Callithrix jacchus: one gene and its partners. The protein of the gene in region 3 purifies or fractionates together with the protein of the main gene of each other region. This does not show direct contact. Links are inferred from orthologs where the notes say so. Each region holds a gene or a part of one and is shown on either strand. Other genes may lie near its edges. The genes, in order: protein POLR1D, POLR2H and POLR3D.

What was found.
Region 1: the proteins of POLR3D (region 3) and protein POLR1D purify together in Homo sapiens (affinity purification with mass spectrometry; 6 studies listed by BioGRID and IntAct, counting the BioPlex papers as one, with this or other methods). This does not show direct contact. The link is inferred for Callithrix jacchus from reciprocal best matches to the Homo sapiens genes POLR3D and POLR1D.
Region 2: the proteins of POLR3D (region 3) and POLR2H purify together in Homo sapiens (affinity purification with mass spectrometry; 4 studies listed by BioGRID and IntAct, with this or other methods). This does not show direct contact. The link is inferred for Callithrix jacchus from reciprocal best matches to the Homo sapiens genes POLR3D and POLR2H.

What each region holds. Positions count from the first base shown.
Region 1 is NC_133506.1:146,816,768-146,822,786, forward strand, and holds the start of protein POLR1D, read left to right. Parts: upstream 1-1,838; 5' UTR 1,839-1,930; coding exon 1,931-1,956; intron 1,957-2,826; coding exon of another isoform or gene 2,827-3,202; exon of another isoform or gene 3,203-3,401; intron 3,402-5,211; exon of another isoform or gene 5,212-5,305; coding exon of another isoform or gene 5,306-5,322; intron 5,323-6,019. Other genes in the region: uncharacterized protein LOC144582762, read right to left, coding at 1-1,266; POLR1D (DNA-directed RNA polymerases I and III subunit RPAC2), read left to right, coding at 1,931-1,956, 2,827-3,202.
Region 2 is NC_133516.1:13,339,523-13,345,500, forward strand, and holds the start of POLR2H (DNA-directed RNA polymerases I, II, and III subunit RPABC3), read left to right. Parts: upstream 1-2,358; 5' UTR 2,359-2,480; coding exon 2,481-2,553; intron 2,554-4,107; coding exon 4,108-4,191; intron 4,192-4,274; coding exon 4,275-4,368; intron 4,369-5,511; coding exon 5,512-5,595; intron 5,596-5,978. Other genes in the region: CLCN2 (chloride channel protein 2), read right to left, coding at 424-489. UniProt on the Homo sapiens protein: DNA-dependent RNA polymerase catalyzes the transcription of DNA into RNA using the four ribonucleoside triphosphates as substrates.
Region 3 is NC_133514.1:19,237,847-19,244,010, forward strand, and holds the start of POLR3D (DNA-directed RNA polymerase III subunit RPC4), read right to left. Parts: upstream 3,621-6,164; 5' UTR 3,495-3,620; intron 3,275-3,494; 5' UTR 3,270-3,274; coding exon 3,105-3,269; intron 1,806-3,104; coding exon 1,762-1,805; intron 1,181-1,761; coding exon 1,029-1,180; intron 882-1,028; coding exon 757-881; intron 555-756; coding exon 386-554; intron 1-385. UniProt on the Homo sapiens protein: DNA-dependent RNA polymerase catalyzes the transcription of DNA into RNA using the four ribonucleoside triphosphates as substrates.

The DNA of each region.
Region 1 (6,019 bases), on a different chromosome or scaffold from region 3:
GAAGCAAACGACGCCAAGATCTGCACCACGGTGGCCGGAACCAGCAAATGCTAACAGCCGGAGGCCGCCCGCCTCCTGGGCGCCTGCAGGGGGTGGGCACCGGGCTCCGACTCTCCCTCCCGGAGCAGCCCCACACCCGAGTCCACGCTGGCCCTGCAGCCCGAGCAAGCGAGGACAGTCGCAGAGGACCAGAGCTCCGGGGAGAGCTGCGGCGCCGCACCGGCCGCCTCCCGGGGCGCGGTGCTGCCCCACACCCCGCCGACGCCCGCACCTGAGGCGGCTGCCCGGAGCCGGCGAGAGGGCGCGCAGCGAGGCGGGCAGGGCAAAGTTACTCACTGGGAAAGCGCGGCTGCCCGGGCCGCTCACCGGCTCCCGGCGCCGCTGCCCGGCACCAGCTCCAGCTCTCCGCAGCCCGCTGAGACAGAGGAGAACCAGCCCGGCTCCGCTCCGCCGCCGCAGCCGCCGCGGATTTCCTGGCAAGAAACAAACTCCGGCCAAGACTTCACTTCTCAACCGCCCCTGCTGCCTTCCCGGGGGCCAGCGCCAAGGCCAAGCGGCCCAACCCGCACCCGGGCCAATCGGAAGCAGCACAGGGCGGGAGGGGGTGGGCCAGAGGGCGGCCCCGCCTATCCGAGAGCTCGGGAGGCGGGCCAGAAGAGGGACCGTCACTCCCGGGTTAGAGTGAGACCACTCCGCCCTCGCTGCCTGCCTCCCCCACCCGCCTCTGGCTGTCCCCGCCGGCCGCCTGATTCTCCTGCGGAAGCCCCGCTGGCGAGGTGCCTGCGCGCACCCTCGGCAGCCGCCAGGAATGGCACAGCTGGGGAGGGAGTGGACATCCAGGGGAATCGCGGGGAGGGGTGGGGGAGGAGAACAGGAGGCGCAGGGAAGCAGAAACATAGGTGCGCAAGACCACAGGGCAGCTGGAGTAGGGCAGGGTCGGGGCCGGCGGCCAGGGGAGAAGAAGGGGCGATTCGCGAGTAAGCCCACCTGAGGGAGTGCGGCGAGGGCCGGGACGCAGGGAGCAGGGCGGAGAGCGAGCCCAGGCGGTGAAAGGTTGCCGAGGCGGGGGCTGGGCACCTGGGAACAAAGGTGAGGGCGGGTTCCGCAGGTGAGGAGGTTTGAGGAGCCACGGGGGGTAAAGGGAAAAGGACGTCCACTGCGGGAGAGGACGCGCCCCGGGGGTATAAGGAATTCTAGGACCGAAGAAAGGATGAGGTGGGAAACAGTTTTCTTCCAAACTCTCGCTCCCTCAAAAGAGAAAGACATTTCTTTCCTGCCCTTTTTTGACCCAGTTGAGAATGCAGCTGCAAGCTCCAGGGTCAAACACCGCCTTCAACCCTAGTGTTCTGTTGTGACTCATCTCGCACATGACCCCCTTTCCAAGGTGTGTTGACCGACTAGAGCCTAAGCCTGTTGTCCCACGAAAGGCCCGGGAGGGCCGAGGTCCTGGGAAGGGCCACCCTGGGTCGACACGGCCCCAGTGGGGGAGTCGGGCCTATTTCGGACTTGCCACTGTGAAGTTAAGTGATTTGGGGGCGTCAGGTAAGGCCCCGCTACTTCGCCATCACCTGGTGAAAGGTACCAGGGCTGACCCGGGGCTCCCGCAGGCAGGTCTGGGCCTCGGGGTAAAGCGGCGCTGGCCCCACCCTCTGCCCCTCCTGCGGCGGGTGGCCTCGCTGGGGCGCCCAGGTGAGCCAAGGGGCGGTGAGCCACGGCCGACCCCGAGTCGGGGCGGGGATTGGGGGCGGAGCCTCATGCCCCGCCCCGCCGTTGGGCCCTGCCGCGCCGCTGCGGCTCCTCCTCTCTCCTTCCGTCCTCCGCGCTTTCCGTCGGTCGGTCCTTCCTTCCTGCTTCGTCTCCACGCCTCGAGCTATGGGGCAGAGCCCCCGATACGTTAGCACCACCTGAGGACCCGGAAACCGCCTCCACGATGGAAGAGGACCAGGAACTGGAGAGGTAATGGCCAAGGAGTAGGCGGGCGAAGCGGGCCGCGCCCAAGGGGATCGGGTGGCCGAGGGGCACGCGGCCCGGCCTGGCAGCCCCGGCCTGACTCCGGGCGCAGGGAAGAGGCGTGGAGAGAGAAGGGGGAAGAGACATGAATGTGTTTTAAATGAGAGGCTGAAAGGTACGCTAGCTATCAAGGAGGGAAGACAAGTTGGGAGACCAGAGTTAAGTCCCCGAACTGCCCACCCCCATTAGAACAGCAGCGTGTAAAATCACGCCCCGGGCCCCTGCCTCCTTGAGGACGGTACTGATGCCTGTGTCCCTGTAACTACTGCTCACTTTCCTTCTCTGTGCAGACTGCTCCTAAAGCCACTCCTCTGTGTACTGAGCTCTTATCCTCCCTCCTGCTTGACTCCTGGACCTTCCATTCTCCTAGTTTCCTTCTCTTGCAAAATGGAAGCTGCATTCCATTTTGGGCCTGCACATTGATCATCTGTATCCTCTATTTTTATACTGGAGCAATCGGGATTTCTATGCCTTTCAACCCCATTTTCATCCTCTAGCAGGACCCATCCTATTCCAATCTTATCCCTTGCTCGTGACTCTACCAAAGAATATTTTTGCAAACACTTAAGTTTGTGTTTTTCTAAGAAAGCTCCCCTTGTGGCCAGTGTGGATGGTCAAATGGAGCATGGAAAAACCGGAGGCAATAAATTAAATATTTATTGATAGAGTTTGTGGAGGCAGGAAAATGAGAGGCAAATAGTTCTGTGTAGCTGGAGTAGATTGATAACGTGTTGCAATGTGATATAGTAAATGAAAAAAGCTAGTTACAAAACCATATTCAGTATGATCTCATTTTTATAAAAAATATGTGTGTAGAAAAATATCTGGATTGAAGACCTCAATGGCTGAAGGCGAGAGGAAGACAGCCCTGGAAATGGTCCAGGCAGCTGGAACAGATAGACACTGTGTGACATTTGTATTGCACGAGGAGGACCATACCCTAGGAAATTCTCTGCGTTACATGATCATGAAGAACCCGGAAGTGGAATTTTGTGGTTACACTACGACCCATCCTTCAGAGAGCAAAATTAATTTACGCATTCAGACTCGAGGTGCCCTTCCAGCTGTTGAGCCATTTCAGAGAGGCCTGAATGAGCTCATGAATGTCTGCCAACATGTGCTTGACAAGTTTGAGGCCAGCATAAAGAACTATAAGGAACAAAAAGCAAGCAGAAATGAATCCACATTCTAGTCCCTTATGCAGTATACAAGGAGAACTGTCCTCTAGGATATTCTCTTCCTGATGGTGCAGAACTCAGAATTAGAAGCTTGTGATCAAAGCATACTCTGTCCTTCAGAAAGGCATGATTCTAGCTGTTGACCCCTTGTAGCTGTTGGAATCTCTGCAAGAACCTCTGTATTCTTCTAATAAATTCCCTCTTTTATTTAAACTAGTTTGACTGGTTTGTGTTCCATGCAAACAAATGGTCCTCGAGGATACCTTTTTTTTCTTTCAATTAAGCCAGCATGGAAAATGAGGAAACTGAAAATATTAGACGCCTAGACAAGAACTGTGATTATGGGAATTAAAAGGAGTATATATCCATGTCTGTAATTGGGGTGGTGGGGGTAAGGGCAGAGACAAAAAGCATGACTCCAGTTAGACTTTGGTTGGTTTAAGAAAAGAAGAGGATAGGGTGGGGACTTGGCTTGTTGCTAAACATTTTTGCTTTTAAAGAATTATGTCATTTGCTGTGTCTGGTAGACTGGGCAAGGGTGGGAAATAATTTGAAAGAATGGTAAGAATTCTGGGTTTACATGAGAGTTTTAGGTGGTATCAGGTTCCATCTTTGAGGCATTTACAGGAAGGATACCAGTTTACTGCTTGAATTTCGGGATATAGATGTTTAGTCATGATCTTAGTAAGGTAAGACCTTTTGATTATGTTACAGGAGGAAACTGGGATGACTAGATAACGTTTTCAGTCCTTAGGTAGGTGTAGCCTAGGGTAACATAGAAGCCCTATTTGAAAAAAGGTAAAGCCAAGGAGAAGGAAAACTCCATGTGGGGGAAATGACCGTTCTAGAAAACACATACACCATCCGCCAGTGCTCTGTGCTTTGAGGCCTTGTTTATGCTACCCCTGCTTCCTGGGGCAATCTTACTCCTGCCATACTCTTAAATCAAAACTTATGTGTTGGGCCCCCCAGCCTAGTGTGGGTACTTTGTGCTTTCATTACACCCTGTGTTTCCTGGCCTTGGCATTTACTGTGCTGTTGGTAGTGCTTGTCTACCCAGTATACCAACTTGCAGGTCAGCATGATTCTGTTACCTGGAACACCTGACAGGTAGTGGACACTTAGTAAATACTCTGTGAATTCATGAAATTAGTTATGGCTTGCAGCTTTTCAGTCACTCAAACCTGACCTCTAATACTAGCCTGCCACAGAGCCTACATTTCTTACACGCAGTCAACTTCTTTAAAGATATTTCCATATTTTTGAGCACTAGTATGTACGAGGCCTTGGGGATAGATATATAGCTATTGTGGATGAGACAGAGTTAGTCCTGTTTTCGTAAAGCGTGTGTTATAATTAGAGCCCCTTTTAAAAAAAATTGTGAAGCTCAGCATGGTGGCTCACGCCTGGGAAGCCAAGGTGGGTGGATCACTTGAGCCCGGGAGTTCGAGACAAGCTTAGGCAACATAGGCAGGATCTGTCTCTACAAAAATAAAAATAAAAAAGCTAGCCAAGTGTGGTGGCACATGCGTGTAATCCCAGCTACTTGGGAGGCTGAGGTGAGAGAACAGCTTGAACCCAGGAGGTGGAGGCTTCAGTGATCCATAATCACACCATTATACTCCAGCCTGGGTGACAGCGAGAATCTGTCTCAAAAAATATATAAAACTAAAAACTTGTAATTCTGTGAAAGCAACAAATGTAGGGTCAAGATAGAAAACATGAGAAAGGAATCTACTTTAGGCATGGGAGTTAGGAAAGGTGTTCTAGAGATTACAGGGAGAGAGCTGGGTGTACAAAGGGGCGAGAAAATGAATTCTGGGGGTATAGCATGTGCAAAGATGCTGAAGCAGAAAACTTGTGGTGTGAGTAACTAAAGATATTGGAAGAAAATTTGCATGTTTGTAGCACGGTAGACAAGGAGAGGGGTCTGTCCTCGAGTCCATGGGAGGAAGAGGTATGGTAGTAGGGATTTTGGATTTTAAGTGCAGTGGGAATGACATCTTCGTTACTTTGATTACAGTGTAGGGAGGAGATGAATTCTAGGGAGGCTGGAGTAGAGGCAGAGAGAGACACTGTAAAGAGTTGAAGTGACCTACCTGGAAGGATGGAAGCTAATGATGGAGAAGAGAAGGTAGGTGTGAGGTATATTTTAGAATTGTCAAAGAATTGGTACACCTCAGGAATTGAATGGAAGATGAATCAGAAAGATGGCTACTCCCTAGCTTTAGGGCCAATTACTGAAATTGGAAAGCTTAAAATGGAAAATAGATTGGGAGGTGGAAAAGATAGGAGTCAAAAGTTTAATTTTGAACGTTGTAAGCAGTGGCTATGTGAGTTGGAGATCGCGGAATAGATCTAAGCTGGAGACAACTTTTGTGAGTCCTTGCCATAAAGATGACAAATTGAAAAATAGAGGGTGACAAAGAAGTGGCCCCAGAACCAAGCCCTAGGCAACTTCAGTATTTAAAGTTTGGGTCAATGTAATGGTAGAAAAATGCAAAAGTAGAGTATAGAAGCCAAGACTTTCAAATAGGGAATAGAAAAATGTCACCTAGAGTTAACATGGAGGTCACTGGACCATAGCAGCATTAGTTTACTGCCTAAGAAGAGTAAACATTAACACTCATACAGAGGAATGGCTTAGTTTGGTTTTCCAATAAAAGAATCACAAAGACACTGCAAGAGGTGAGTTTAGGTGGGAGCAGGGATGTCATAGGAGAAGGATGGAGAATATTCTCGTATGGTGATGGAAATTCTGGAAAGTCAATGCTTGTTTAAGGGCATTAGACTTTGAAGATACACGAAGCTCAAAAAGGATGTGGAAAAGG
Region 2 (5,978 bases), on a different chromosome or scaffold from region 3:
ATGCTTAGAACGGTGCCAGGCGCATGCCAGGGACACAGGGAATGTCTTGGGTGGCGGAGACAGTGGCGTGGAGAAAGTTCAATGGTGTGAATGGTGCCGCGGAAGGGGCAGTGGGTGCTGAGACTCAGGCCCAGGTGATGAGGGGAGAAGCAAAGAAAACGTGTGTGTTGGGGGGTGAAGGGAAGGGCACCTGAGACAAGTACCTGGTGTCCTTGTCCTCTGTAGGCCCTCAGCCTCAGCGAGAAGCCAGCATGCATCTTTCCATCCCTTCGGCCCCGCAGCCTCGGACTTCCGAGCCTCAGTTTCCCCAGCTCAAAAGGCTGGGACGGGATTCAGATAGGCCCTCGGTCCTCGCGCTGCCGAGGGTAACCTGGAGCAGCGGTCCCGGAGCGCACTCCGCGGGCTGGGCTCGGCTTCACTTACCAGGGTCTGCTCGTACTGCAGCGCCCGCGGCTCCATCCCCTCCTCCGCTGCCGCGGCCGACGCCATCTCCCTGCACTGCCCTCTCGCCTCCCTCCGGGGCTCGGGCTCTGCCCTCTACTCGGCTTCCGGCCCGCAGAGTCAGCGCCGGCGGCCGTCCCGTCCCCGCAGCCCGGGAGACCGAGAGCAGAGTGCGGCGGGCCCGGAGCGGGCGCCGCAGGCGCAGCCTCCGGCTCCTGTCCCCTCCTCGGCGGGCGGGCCGAGGGTGGTGCCCTCTGCGCTGCTCCGCCCGCCAGCCCATCCGGAGGGGCCGGCCCAGCCAGGCCGGGGTCCGCGCGGGGCCTCCCGAGAGGCGGTAGGGGGCGCTGAGCAGTCTGGAGCCCGCGCCGGCTCCCTGCGGAGGCCGGGGAAGGAGAGGGGCGCCCGGGGCCGGGCAGGGGCGGGTCCGCGGGCACGTGGAGGGGCCGGGCCGGGTTGGCGGTTCCCTGCGTCCGGGCAGGAGGGGCTGCAGATGCCCGAGCTCCGCAGGGCTCAGGGATGGGGGTGCTGAGTGATCTACATCGGACGCCTCCGGGTCAGCCGGTTAGAAGCCGCTTCCCCTCTCCCCGTCCCAAGGGACTTGCAGCTCTGACAGGCCTGTCAGGGGTGAGCAGCAAAGCTGGGAGGATTCGGGGCGGATCGGGGCCGTCTTCCTTACTCCTTCCTTTCCCGGGGCTGCCCCAGGGAGGTGCACCCGGAGCAACCCGGCCTGCGGGGTGTGCGGGGGTGGAGGTTGGGAGGGCCCCGGAAGGGGTAGGCCGGAGGAGGGGAGCTCCACGGGCCGGGAGTCCACGCCCGGAACGCGGGCGTGGAGAGCAGAGGTCGCTTCTCCCTGGCTGGGCTCAAGGAGGAACCCGAGTCGCTGCTGCTGTCCCTCCGCTTTCGGGGAACGGTCTGCTGGTGCTCGGGGTTCTCTGTCAGGGGCCAGGGAAGGATAGAAAAGAGGGCGGAGCGCGCGCAGGGTGGACGGGCAGCTGAGCGACAGTGTGAGAGGAGCGGGGGCGGCGCCCAGGACGCGGACAGGGTGCGGGAGAGCCAGTAGTACCAGAAGGAAGGGCTATTTGGGAGGCAGAGGCGGGGCTCGGGGGGCGGGGGCAGTGCCCGGGGAGGGGGGGGGGCCCTGGGAGAGAAGCCGCCACCCAGGAGGAAGGGCCAGTGCGAGGGAAGAGCTGGTATTCAAGGGAGAGGGCAGTGCTAGGCCGAAGGGGTACGGAGGGGATCCGTGTCCAGTAAACGGGAACGCAGAGTACCAAGCTGGAGGGGGAGTGCCCAGGGGGCGGGAGCCAGGCTGAAGGGGCGGTGCGCGGGAAAACCAGGGCCTGGGGGAAGAGGGCAGTGTCGTGGGGTGCCGTATGAGGGGAGGGGACCATGCAGCCTTTCCATTTCTCCAAAGCGACGTCATGGCAAATTCCCAAACTGGACGGATCCGGCTCAGGTTACATCCAGAAGGGCCCAGCCGGCCCAGGCCGGCCCCGGCGTCCTTGGTGTCTCCTGGAGGGGCTGGGCACCTCTGGGGCGGGGTTCTTCTCCACCTGCCCTCGGCGAGGACTGTGCCCTTGGCGGGCACGAGGACCGGCGGGATAGGGCTAGGGCCTGGCCGCTCTGGGCCAAGGATCAAGGTCCCTGCCTGGGTTAGGCCCCCACGCATTCCAATCTTCTGGACTCAGACTCTGAAGAGCGCGCAGTAAAGCCCCAGCGTAGCAGAAGCCGCTCTACAGCCGCGGGAGGTTGGACCTATTGTTTCCCCGCCCTGGGCGGAGCCACCTGGCCGTGAGACCCGCCCTCAATGCCGAAGCCTCTCGGAAACAGTCTTTCGGGGAGGAAGTTAGGTAGCCCCGAGAGGAAGATTGTGGCGGAAGTGGTCGCGTTACCGCCTGTTTGTGCGCATGCGCTACTCTTGTCTAGCTGCCGCCTTTCTGGAGGTGCTTTTGCTCATCTCCCTTCTCCACGCGAGGGGGTGCGCGTACTCCCAGCCGTGGTCGCGCGTTAACCCCTTCTGCTGCTCTCCTGGCCCACTTGCGATGGCGGGCATCCTGTTTGAGGATATTTTCGATGTGAAGGATATTGACCCAGAGGGCAAGAAGTTTGACCGAGGTAAGTAAGGTACGAGGTTTGGAGGAAGACGCTAACCTCGCGGACATGTCCCTGGGCCCCATGCCCACCCAGCTCTTGTGGCCTGCTCCTACCAGCAGGTCCTGATGTAGGGACCTCCCTCAGGAAACACTTTATGAATGAGAAAACGGAGACTCAGCTCTCTGGCTTCACGCATGCCGTGCTGGGTGTCTGGATGGCCTTTTGTCATAGTGCTGGCAAACTCCTGAGCATCTTTATAATCGCTGCCTACTCTGTGCTAGACACTGTCTTGTGCGGCTCATACACCCTTTGCCTTACTTATTCTTAAGAGACCTCGGCCGGGCGCGATGACTCACGCCTGTAATCCCAGGACTTTGGGAGGCTGAGGCGGGTGGATCACTTGAGGTCAGGAGTTCGAGACCTGCCTGGCCATCATGGTGAAACCCTGTCTCTACTAAAAATACAAAAATGAGCCGGGTGTGGTGGTGGCGCGCCTGTAATCCCAGCTACTCGGTAGGCTGAGGCGGGAGAATCGCTTGAACCCAGGAGGCTAAAGTTGTGGTGAGCCAAGATCGAGCCACTACACTCCAGCCTGGGCGGCAGAGCCAGACTCCATTAAAAAAAAAAAAAAAATTATATATATATACGCTAAGCAGTTAACTAGTTAACTCTCAGAAAAGACTTCACTAAGCGCTAAAGATTCTGAGAGCGATACAAGAATATAGACTCTGAAGTTAGATTACTTGCTGTGCAGCCTTGGGTGAGTTACTCAAACTCTCAGAGAAAAACAGGGAAGGCACCACCCACCTCATGAAGACTCCTTTTTTTTTTTTTGAGATGGCGTCTCACTTTGTCACTCACACTGACTGGAGTGCAATGGTGTGATCTCGGCTTACTGCAACCTCTGCCTTCTGGATTCAAGCAATTCTCTTGCCTCAGCCTCCCAAGTAGCTGGGATTACAGGTGCCTGCCACCACACCCAGCTCGTTTTTGTATTTTTGGTAGAGATGGGGTTTCACCATGTTGGCCAGGCTGGTCTCCAACTCCTGACCTCCAGTGATCCACCTGCGTTAACCTCCCACAGTGCTGGGATGACAGGTGTGAGCCACCGCGCCTAGTCTCCATTTCTTTATTTTGTCATTGATCAATAATTTTCTCTTTGGTGTCTGTTTCTTTGCCTAGAGACTCAGATGTTTTTCAAGATGGATACCAGTCATTATACATCTTGATAACCCCCTCAGCACAGTGCCTAGCACAGAAAGAGGAAACCTTTGGATGATTCAATAACTTGCCCAGAGTCAGGTTCTCAGCCATCCAGGCAGGCCTAGAACCTGGATATTATTTGCTGCTGGAGTATCTTTAGTTGTTTTCTGGGGATTACGTTCACTTGCCACAGTTTTTCTCCTGATTTCCTCCTTGCATATCTGGGTCTGACTGAGCCTGCCTTAGAGGACATGAGAGACCAGTGGATGTAGGCTGGGTTAGATTGAGTATTCTGTTGCATACAATCCCACACTGTAGGATCTTCCCTGGGCCTGGCAATACCTCTCTTACTCTTTTTCCACTTTTCCCCAGTGTCTCGGCTACATTGTGAGAGTGAATCTTTCAAGATGGATCTCATCTTAGATGTAAACATTCAAATTTACCCTGTAGACTTGGGTAAGTATTGAACACAGACAATAATAAGAGGCTATTTGCTGCTTCAGCTATTCTTCACTCTCTGATATTGCTGTTATTTTTAGGTGACAAGTTCCGGTTGGTCATAGCTAGTACCTTGTATGAAGATGGCACCCTGGATGATGGTGAATATAACCCCACTGATGACAGGCCTTCCAGGTGAGGGAGTGGAGAAGGTGATACTTGAAATATGCCCTGAGGACTAAGTAGATAAGTGATATAGAAAGACTCTTCTGGCGGGGCACAGTGGTTCATGCCTGTAATCCCAGCACTTTGGGAGGTGGATCATGAGGTCAGGAGTTTGAGACCAGCCTGGGCAACATGGTGAAACCGCGTCTCTACTAAAATACAAAAAATTAATTGGGCATGGTGGTGGGCACCTGCATAGTCCCAGCTACTCAGGAGGCTGAGGCAGGAGAATTGCTTGAACCCAGGAAGCAGAGGTTGCAGTGAGCAGAGATTGGACCACTGAGTTCCAGGCTGGGCAACAGAACAAGACTCTGTCTCCAAAAAAAAGAAAAACGAAAGACTCTTCTTTAATTCCTAGAATAAATAATGATTAGCAGAATCTGAGTAACCTTAAGGAAATTTCTGCACTTAAGAATTCAAACAGACCAGGTACTATGGCTCACACATGTAATTCAAGCACTTTGGGAGGCTGAGTCAGGAGGATTGCTTGAGTCCAGGAGTTCAAGAGCAACCTGAGCAACATAGTGAAACCTCACTGCTACAAAAAAAAAAAAAAGCTGACCATGGTGGCATGTGCCTGTAGTTCCAGCTACCTGGGAAGCCAAGGTGGGAGGATTGCCTGAGCCAGGGAGATTGAGGCTGCAGTGAGCCACGATCATGCTACTGCACTCCAGCCTGAGCAACAGAGCAAGACCCTGTCTCAAAAAAAAAAAAAAGATAAAAAATTTCAAACAACCAGGTATTTATAACAGTGATTACATGCTTGTGAGTTGTAGCTTTTTGAAGGCTGAGAAGATGACCGCTCTGTGGGTCTTGTGTCTTGGGAGGGAGTTTGGTGTAATGGAAAGGCTTTGGCACCCCGCTCGAGTTGATTTCTGAGCTCTACCACTTACTTGCTAAGTAAGCTTGATCTCCTTCAGCCTGTTTCCTCATCAGTAAACTAGAGATGGTCCTGCCTAGCTCACAGAATTGCTGTGAGGACTAAATGGCGTCATGTTTATAATGTGCCTGTTGTTAAAATGCTGGCATCGAGTTACCAGTTACCATTTTTAAATGGCATCTTTTATATTGTTAATTACTGTTAAGAATAACTTTGCTACTCTTGCTCCATAGGGCTGACCAATTTGAGTATGTAATGTATGGGAAAGTATACAGGATTGAGGGAGACGAAACTTCTACTGAAGCGGCAACACGCCTGTAAGTTACATGATCTTGTGAGGATTGTTTTCCCCCTCCCTGTTCTGAGACTTTGAGTTATGCTTCTGCTTCCTCTGTTGGGTCCTTCTCCTTAGGCACCTCAGACATAGGTGGGAACTAGAAAGAAATGGTTATTAGAGCAGTTTCCAGTCTGAATTGTAGACTGCCCTTTGTCAGGCCCTCCTGGCCTAGTGGTCCAGAAGAGAAACTGGTCATCTCCCTGTTAAAGTATGGAGGAACCAAATGCAGCATTAAGTGATTATACTATTAGGCTGTGTGTGTGTGTGTGTGTGTGTGTCTTTTCCTTAAAATCTTATTAAAACAATATGTGCTGTTTGTAAGTAATTTGAAATGCGGAAGAGAATGTGAAGAAGAAAAAAAAC
Region 3 (6,164 bases):
GATAGAAGTGGAAGGCTATCATGTGACCACCCTCCACATCAGCTCACTGTTACCAGCCCTTTGGCCCTATCTACTCCACTATCACTCAGCCAGGGAGTGGGAAGGAGGGACTGCTTATAGAGAGGGGCACAGGACAACACGTTCAAGTCTTGTGTGACTTAACTAAAAAAGGACATCTGAGGCTGAGCCCACTGCTCCACGTCAACATGTGAACCCTCTGTGAGAGAGAATCAAGCATCTTTGTTTAGCTCCTGTATCTTACAGCCAGCAAGGGAGCATCTGCTCATAAGCAGCAGTTAGGGCCCCATGCAAGGGATGTCTGATGCCAGGGATTCCTGGGAGTAGCCATGGAATTGGAGATGAGAAGTTAATGGACACAGAGTACCTTTCACAGCAGGTACATCCACCTCCATGTCCTCTTCCTTGGGGCCAGCCAGCCACGATTTAACATCTGGTTCGTCATTTTCTTCCTTAAAAAGCCATCCTGAGTGAGCCAGCGGCAGCTGCACAGGCATATTTCGAGTGTCGTTCCTCAGCCCGGGGTCATCGAGGAACTGCCAAAAAGAATTGGGGTCATCCAGCCTGCTAGCATACGCACTTGGAAAAAAGTCTGCTTTAGTCACTTTCTAACCGAAGATTCCTGCTGCTCCCCCAGATTCCAGGACTCAGTGAGCTCTTCCGCCCCTCACCTGGCTCCCCAGAAGCCCTGTTCTACAGCCACAAGCAAGCCCCTTCCCCAAGCCTCCAGGTACCCACATCGTCCTTCTCCAGCATGCGCAAGATCTGTTTCGTTTCTTCGTCTGTCTCTCTCTTCTCTTTTTTGATGTTGATGATATGAGAAGGTCCCATGTCTGACACATCCACTGTCTTATCCCAGTTTCCTGTGGGAAATCACCCGGGTCACTAGGGATCAATCAGGAAGATGCCAACAGCAAGGAAAACTGAACTGGGAGCAGGGAAATTCCACTGCTCTTGCCCTTCTCTTGGGCAGTCTGAACTCAAATTCACTACTGATTCCTTCTTCGTACCTTTTTTCTTCATCATTTCGGCTGGGCCCTGCTCAAAGATGGAGTGGGACTGGATCACTTCTGGGCGGCCTCGTCCTCGTCCATGCCCCTCTCGCTGTCGGTCTCTGTCCCTTTCACGCTTCTCCTTCTTGACAGTTACTTCTTCCTTGGGCCTGGAAAAGAGAATGGATTCGGGAAACCACTCACTCACTGTGTCTCCGAAAACTGGCCTTAATCTCCCATACCACCTCACTCCAAGACAGTGGAGAGTCTGAGCCAATAATTACACTATGAGAAGCAGAATCCAGTTCTAATTCTAGCACTTTTCTCACTTCCTTGATGAGGCAGGATTTTTTCAGTTTGCTTTACTTTACCTTGTCCAAAAATGTAGATTTTTTTTTTTTTTTTTGCATTGGGACTGAAAGCAGGAAGGCAGAAATCCAAAGGAACTTCAAGGAAAGTATGATACATCTTTGTTTAAACTAGTGGCTCTCAACTCTGGCCATCAAAGAGAATCACTCCATTCCACTGCCAACAAATTAAATCACAATTTTTAGAGATGGAGCCCTAGACACCAATATTTTTTTTTTAAACTTACACATCAGAATCACCTAGAAGCAAGGACTGAAAATCACCAGTGAAAAGAACTAAAAACATAAATTTGTCAGAGCCACAAACCTAGTTACTTCCCCCAAAGCCCCATATTCAGAGAAAGTAAATAAGGGGCAAGTATTCAGAAGGCCTAGCTACTTACTCTTCTTTGATCTTCCGACTGATGATATTTGGGGTGAAGGTTTTCTGAAAGCAAAATACAGGAGTCACTGATGTGTTAGGTCCTGACCCCAAAGTACAGAGGAAAAAAAAAATTCCCAAAGGGCACTGTCTACCAACCAAGGCCAACATGGTTGTCTTTGGCACGTTCCACAGTGCTGTCCGCTTTACAGAGACAGACATGTGACTGAAAAGAAGGAATGTCATGGTGTGGTGGCAGTGGAGTTACACATAAAAGAAAGGGGCACCAAACCTCATTTTTAACCAGCAGCCTTAGGTTCTGCCTCTGAAAGAATACCCTCTGGGACTTCTAAAAGCAAAGGAATTTCTCTAGTCTCACCTCTCATCTTCAAACTGCTATAGAGACCAGTGAGTATCATGAGAGAACAGCTCTAGCACCAAGACATAAGTAGGGAAGACCACAGATCTGCCAACACTCTCAATCAGGGGATTATAGACCGTCACAATTTTCCAAGGCAAAGTTAGGTGTTTTTTTTCTTTTGAGAGGGAGTTTCACTCTTGTTACTGTGGCTGGAGTGCAATGGTACGATCTCGGCTCACTCCAGCCTCTGCCTCCCAGGTTCAAGCGATTCTCCTGCCTCAGTCTCCTGAGTAGCTGGGATTACAGGCACCTGCCACCACACTTCTAATTGTTGTATTTTTATTAGAGACATACCCAGCTAATTTCTGTATTTTTTGTAGGGGTTTCACTGGCCAGGCTGGTCTCAAACTCCTGACCTCAGGTAATCTGCCCACCTCGGCCTCCCAAAGTGCTGGGATTACAGGCGTGAGCCGTGGTGCCCAGTCGCAAAGTTAGGTTTTTAAATACTGCTTTATTCTCCTGCCATCCTGACCCTACCCCTTTCAGAGCTACTCTTGACATCCACAATCATATGCACATGGGAGACCACAGAGCCTCAAATGCTATGCCTAGGATTCATCATACTCTAGATAAAAAGTCTGCACACTGAGATGTTGAATTCTGAACTCTCTAAGACTGTGAGGTTTATGCCTGCCTGGCTTTCATGGGCTTGTTATAGATGTCCAAACACACAATGAAAGTAAATAAACACTGTTCAAGTTGCTTTTGAACAACGTTAACTAATTAGGACTCTCTATCCTTCAACCACCTCTGAGAATCATTTCAACATCTGTACTCAGTACCTAGATTTGAAGGTAGGACAGGCTCCCTAGAATGTAAAGAGGAGTAGGCGTGAGGCCGAACAATACTCCAGACACACAGTAGGCCCTACACGAACATTAGTTGAATCTCGCGGCTTGGAATTCAAGGTAGGTGAGTTTCTTTAGAAACGCGCCGTTGGGTACCTTCTTGACTCCCCCGAGGGTGAGGTCCCTGGAACGGATGGAGGGAAGGCGGCCGGGAGTGAGGGGGGGCGCCGGCCGCCGCCCGATGAGCCCCCGAGCCCCGGTCAGGAGGGGTCGGGGCCCTCCCGGAGTGCTGGGCTCGCCGGCGGCGTTTCCTTCCGACATGTTGCCTGGCAAAGAAGGGACAACGAGATGACCAGAGGGGATTGACACGCGGACCCTTGCGGAACCCCACCCACTTGGCTTCCGGTTCCCCACTCAGCGCGTCCTCCAGTGGCGTCTCTGCTCCTCCCCTCCCACGTGGCAAGACTCCCCAGACCACCCAGGTGAGAGCCCTCGTGACACGCCCTGTCTCCAGGACCCCCGCCCAAGAACCAGGCAGGGACTCACCCGGACCGCGGCCCCACACCACGCTCACGACTTCACCAGAGACGCGACCTGCAGCTAGCCTTCGGTCTCCGCGCCGAACGGAAGTCTGCGTGGCATGGTCTGGGCGCCGCCATGTTGGCGCGGGGCGGAAGTGATGTTCTGGGGGCGGGACTGAGCCACAGTATTTATTAGGCGGCGCTTCGCTCCCCTCCGCCTTCTCTTCCCGGTTCTTCCCGGAGTCGGGAAAAGCTGGGTTGAGAGGGCGAAAAAGAATAAGGGGACTACTGTTCTGGGCTACGCTGTGACGTGGCGTTCGGGGGTCTTAGGCCTCGGGCGGGGGTGTGGAGGCGCCGAATTCAGGCTCCTGGGCCTTGTTGGCCGCCACGCGCAATGTGAGGAATCGCCGCGGCGGAGCCCCTGGGAGCTTTGGGGTCGCTGCTCGGGATGGGGCGAGGGGCGCGGCGCAGAGAGCGAGACTTGAACTCAAAGTTGGGGAGTCCTGGGCCACGCCGAGCCCCGTCTCGGGTTCTCCATGGTGACCTTGAAGTGGACAGTTCCTGCGGGCAGCGGCCTCGCCCACTTTTGAGGACCCCCTTCCCTGTGCTCCTGGGGGGGTTCAGGGGTGAGGCTGTGGGGGGCAGCGTTGGAACAGCCGCAATGGACCAACCGGTACCCAGTCACAACCGCCTTGGGCTCACGACGGCGGTGGCCCTCATGTGCGCTCTTGGTGAAAGCCTGCACGGAATCGGAATACCAAGTTTGCTCTACTGTTGGAATTTGAAAAACTTCGATTGACTCCGATGTTTGTGATTTCACATAAAAAGTGTCATTTAATGTTACCCCCCAGACCATGTAAAAACCATGTAACAATATTACGGGGAGTTTGAGGAAAGGAAATCATTTCTATTCGATTGCCACGTAGAGTACTACTATTAAAAATTTTGTAATATATCTAGTAGTCTTCACAAAGTTGTCATATTCTATCACAATTTCGTATCCTTTTTCTTTTGTTTTTTTTGGGGGGAGGCGGGGAGAAGAGGGAGACGAGGTTTCTCTCTGTTGCCCAGACTGCAGTGGTAGGATCGGCTCACGGCACCCTCTGCCTCACAGGCTCAAGCCATGCTCCAACCTCAGCTTCCCGAGTAGCTGGGACTACAGATGCATGCCACCATGCCTTTCCCCGCTCCCCCCGTCCCCCACCTCGTAGAGATGGAGTTTCACTGTGTTGCCCAGGCTGGTCTTTAACTCCTGAGTTCAAGTGATCCCACCCACCTTGGCCTCCCAATGTGCTGGAATTACAGGCGTCAGCCACCGCGCCTGGCCTGTATCCTCCTTTTCCAAATAACATTTCTCTGTTGCCACATCAAAGACTGTGTCGTTCTCCAGTGGCTGTATCATGATTTAAGTATTTTCCTGATTGTTCCTTTTTTTCCTGTTTTAAATAACGTTGTAGTGAATATGTGGTACATTCGACGTGCTTTTTGTTTGTTTTCTTTTGGATTATATTCCTGGGATAGATTTCCCGTCCTGGGATAGCTGGCCAAAAGAAGATGCATTTTTTTTTTTTTTTTAAGTAAATTTTTGGGATGGGCATCGTGGCTTACACTTGTAATCCCAGTACTTTGGAAGGCAGAGGTGGGAGAATTTCTTGAAAGGCTCAGCAGTTCAAGGTTGCAATGAGCTATGATCTGGTCCCTGCACTCCAGCCTGGGTGACACAGCAAGACCCTATCTCTAAAAACATTTTTTAAATTAAACTTTTTATTTTGAGAACATTGTAGGTTCATGTAGAGTTGTAAGAAACAATATAGAGAGATCCCAAGTACTGTTCACTGTTTTCCCCCAATAGTAACATCTTGCCACCAGGATATTGACATTATTACAGTCAAGATAGGAGAAGTTTCCATCACCACAAGGATCTCTCTAGTTGCCCTTTTATAGCCACACCTCCCTCCCCCACCTCCTCCCACCACTAGTCTGTTCTCGATTCCTGCCATTTCGTTATTTGAAAAGTGTTATATAAATGGAATCGTACAGTATGTGACTTCTTAGGATTGCTTTCTTCACTCGGCATTGTTCCCCAGAGATCATCCAAGTTGTGTGTGTATCAATAGTTCCTTCTCTTTTATTGGAGCCTATTCGTGGTTTGTTTAGCCATTCACCCTTTGAAAGACATCTGGGTGGTTTTCCGTTTGGGGTTATTATGAATAAAGTTGCTGTGAAAATACACGTACGGGTTTTTGTGTGAACGTAAGTTTTTATTTCTCTGGGATAATTGCCCATGAGTGCAATAATTGGGTCATATGGTAGTTGTATCTTAGTTTTATAAGAAACTGCCAAGCTGTTTTCCACAGTGGCTGTACCGTTTTGTACATGCATATTTTATGGTTCTTCATTCACTTTGCTAAATTGCATTCAAGGCTTGTGCGGCCGGGATCGGTGGCTCACGCCTGTAATCCCAGCCCTTTGGGAGGCCGAGGTGGGCAGATCACTTGAGATCAGGAGTTCCAGACCAGCCTGGCCAACATGGCAAAATCCTATCTCTACTAAAAATACAAAAAATAGCTGGGCGTGATGGCGCACGCTGGTAATCCCAGCTACTCTAGAGGCTGAGGCACAAGAATCGCTTGAACCCGGGAGGCAGAGATTGCAGCGAACTGAGATCTCACCACGTGCTCCCGCCAGGGCAACA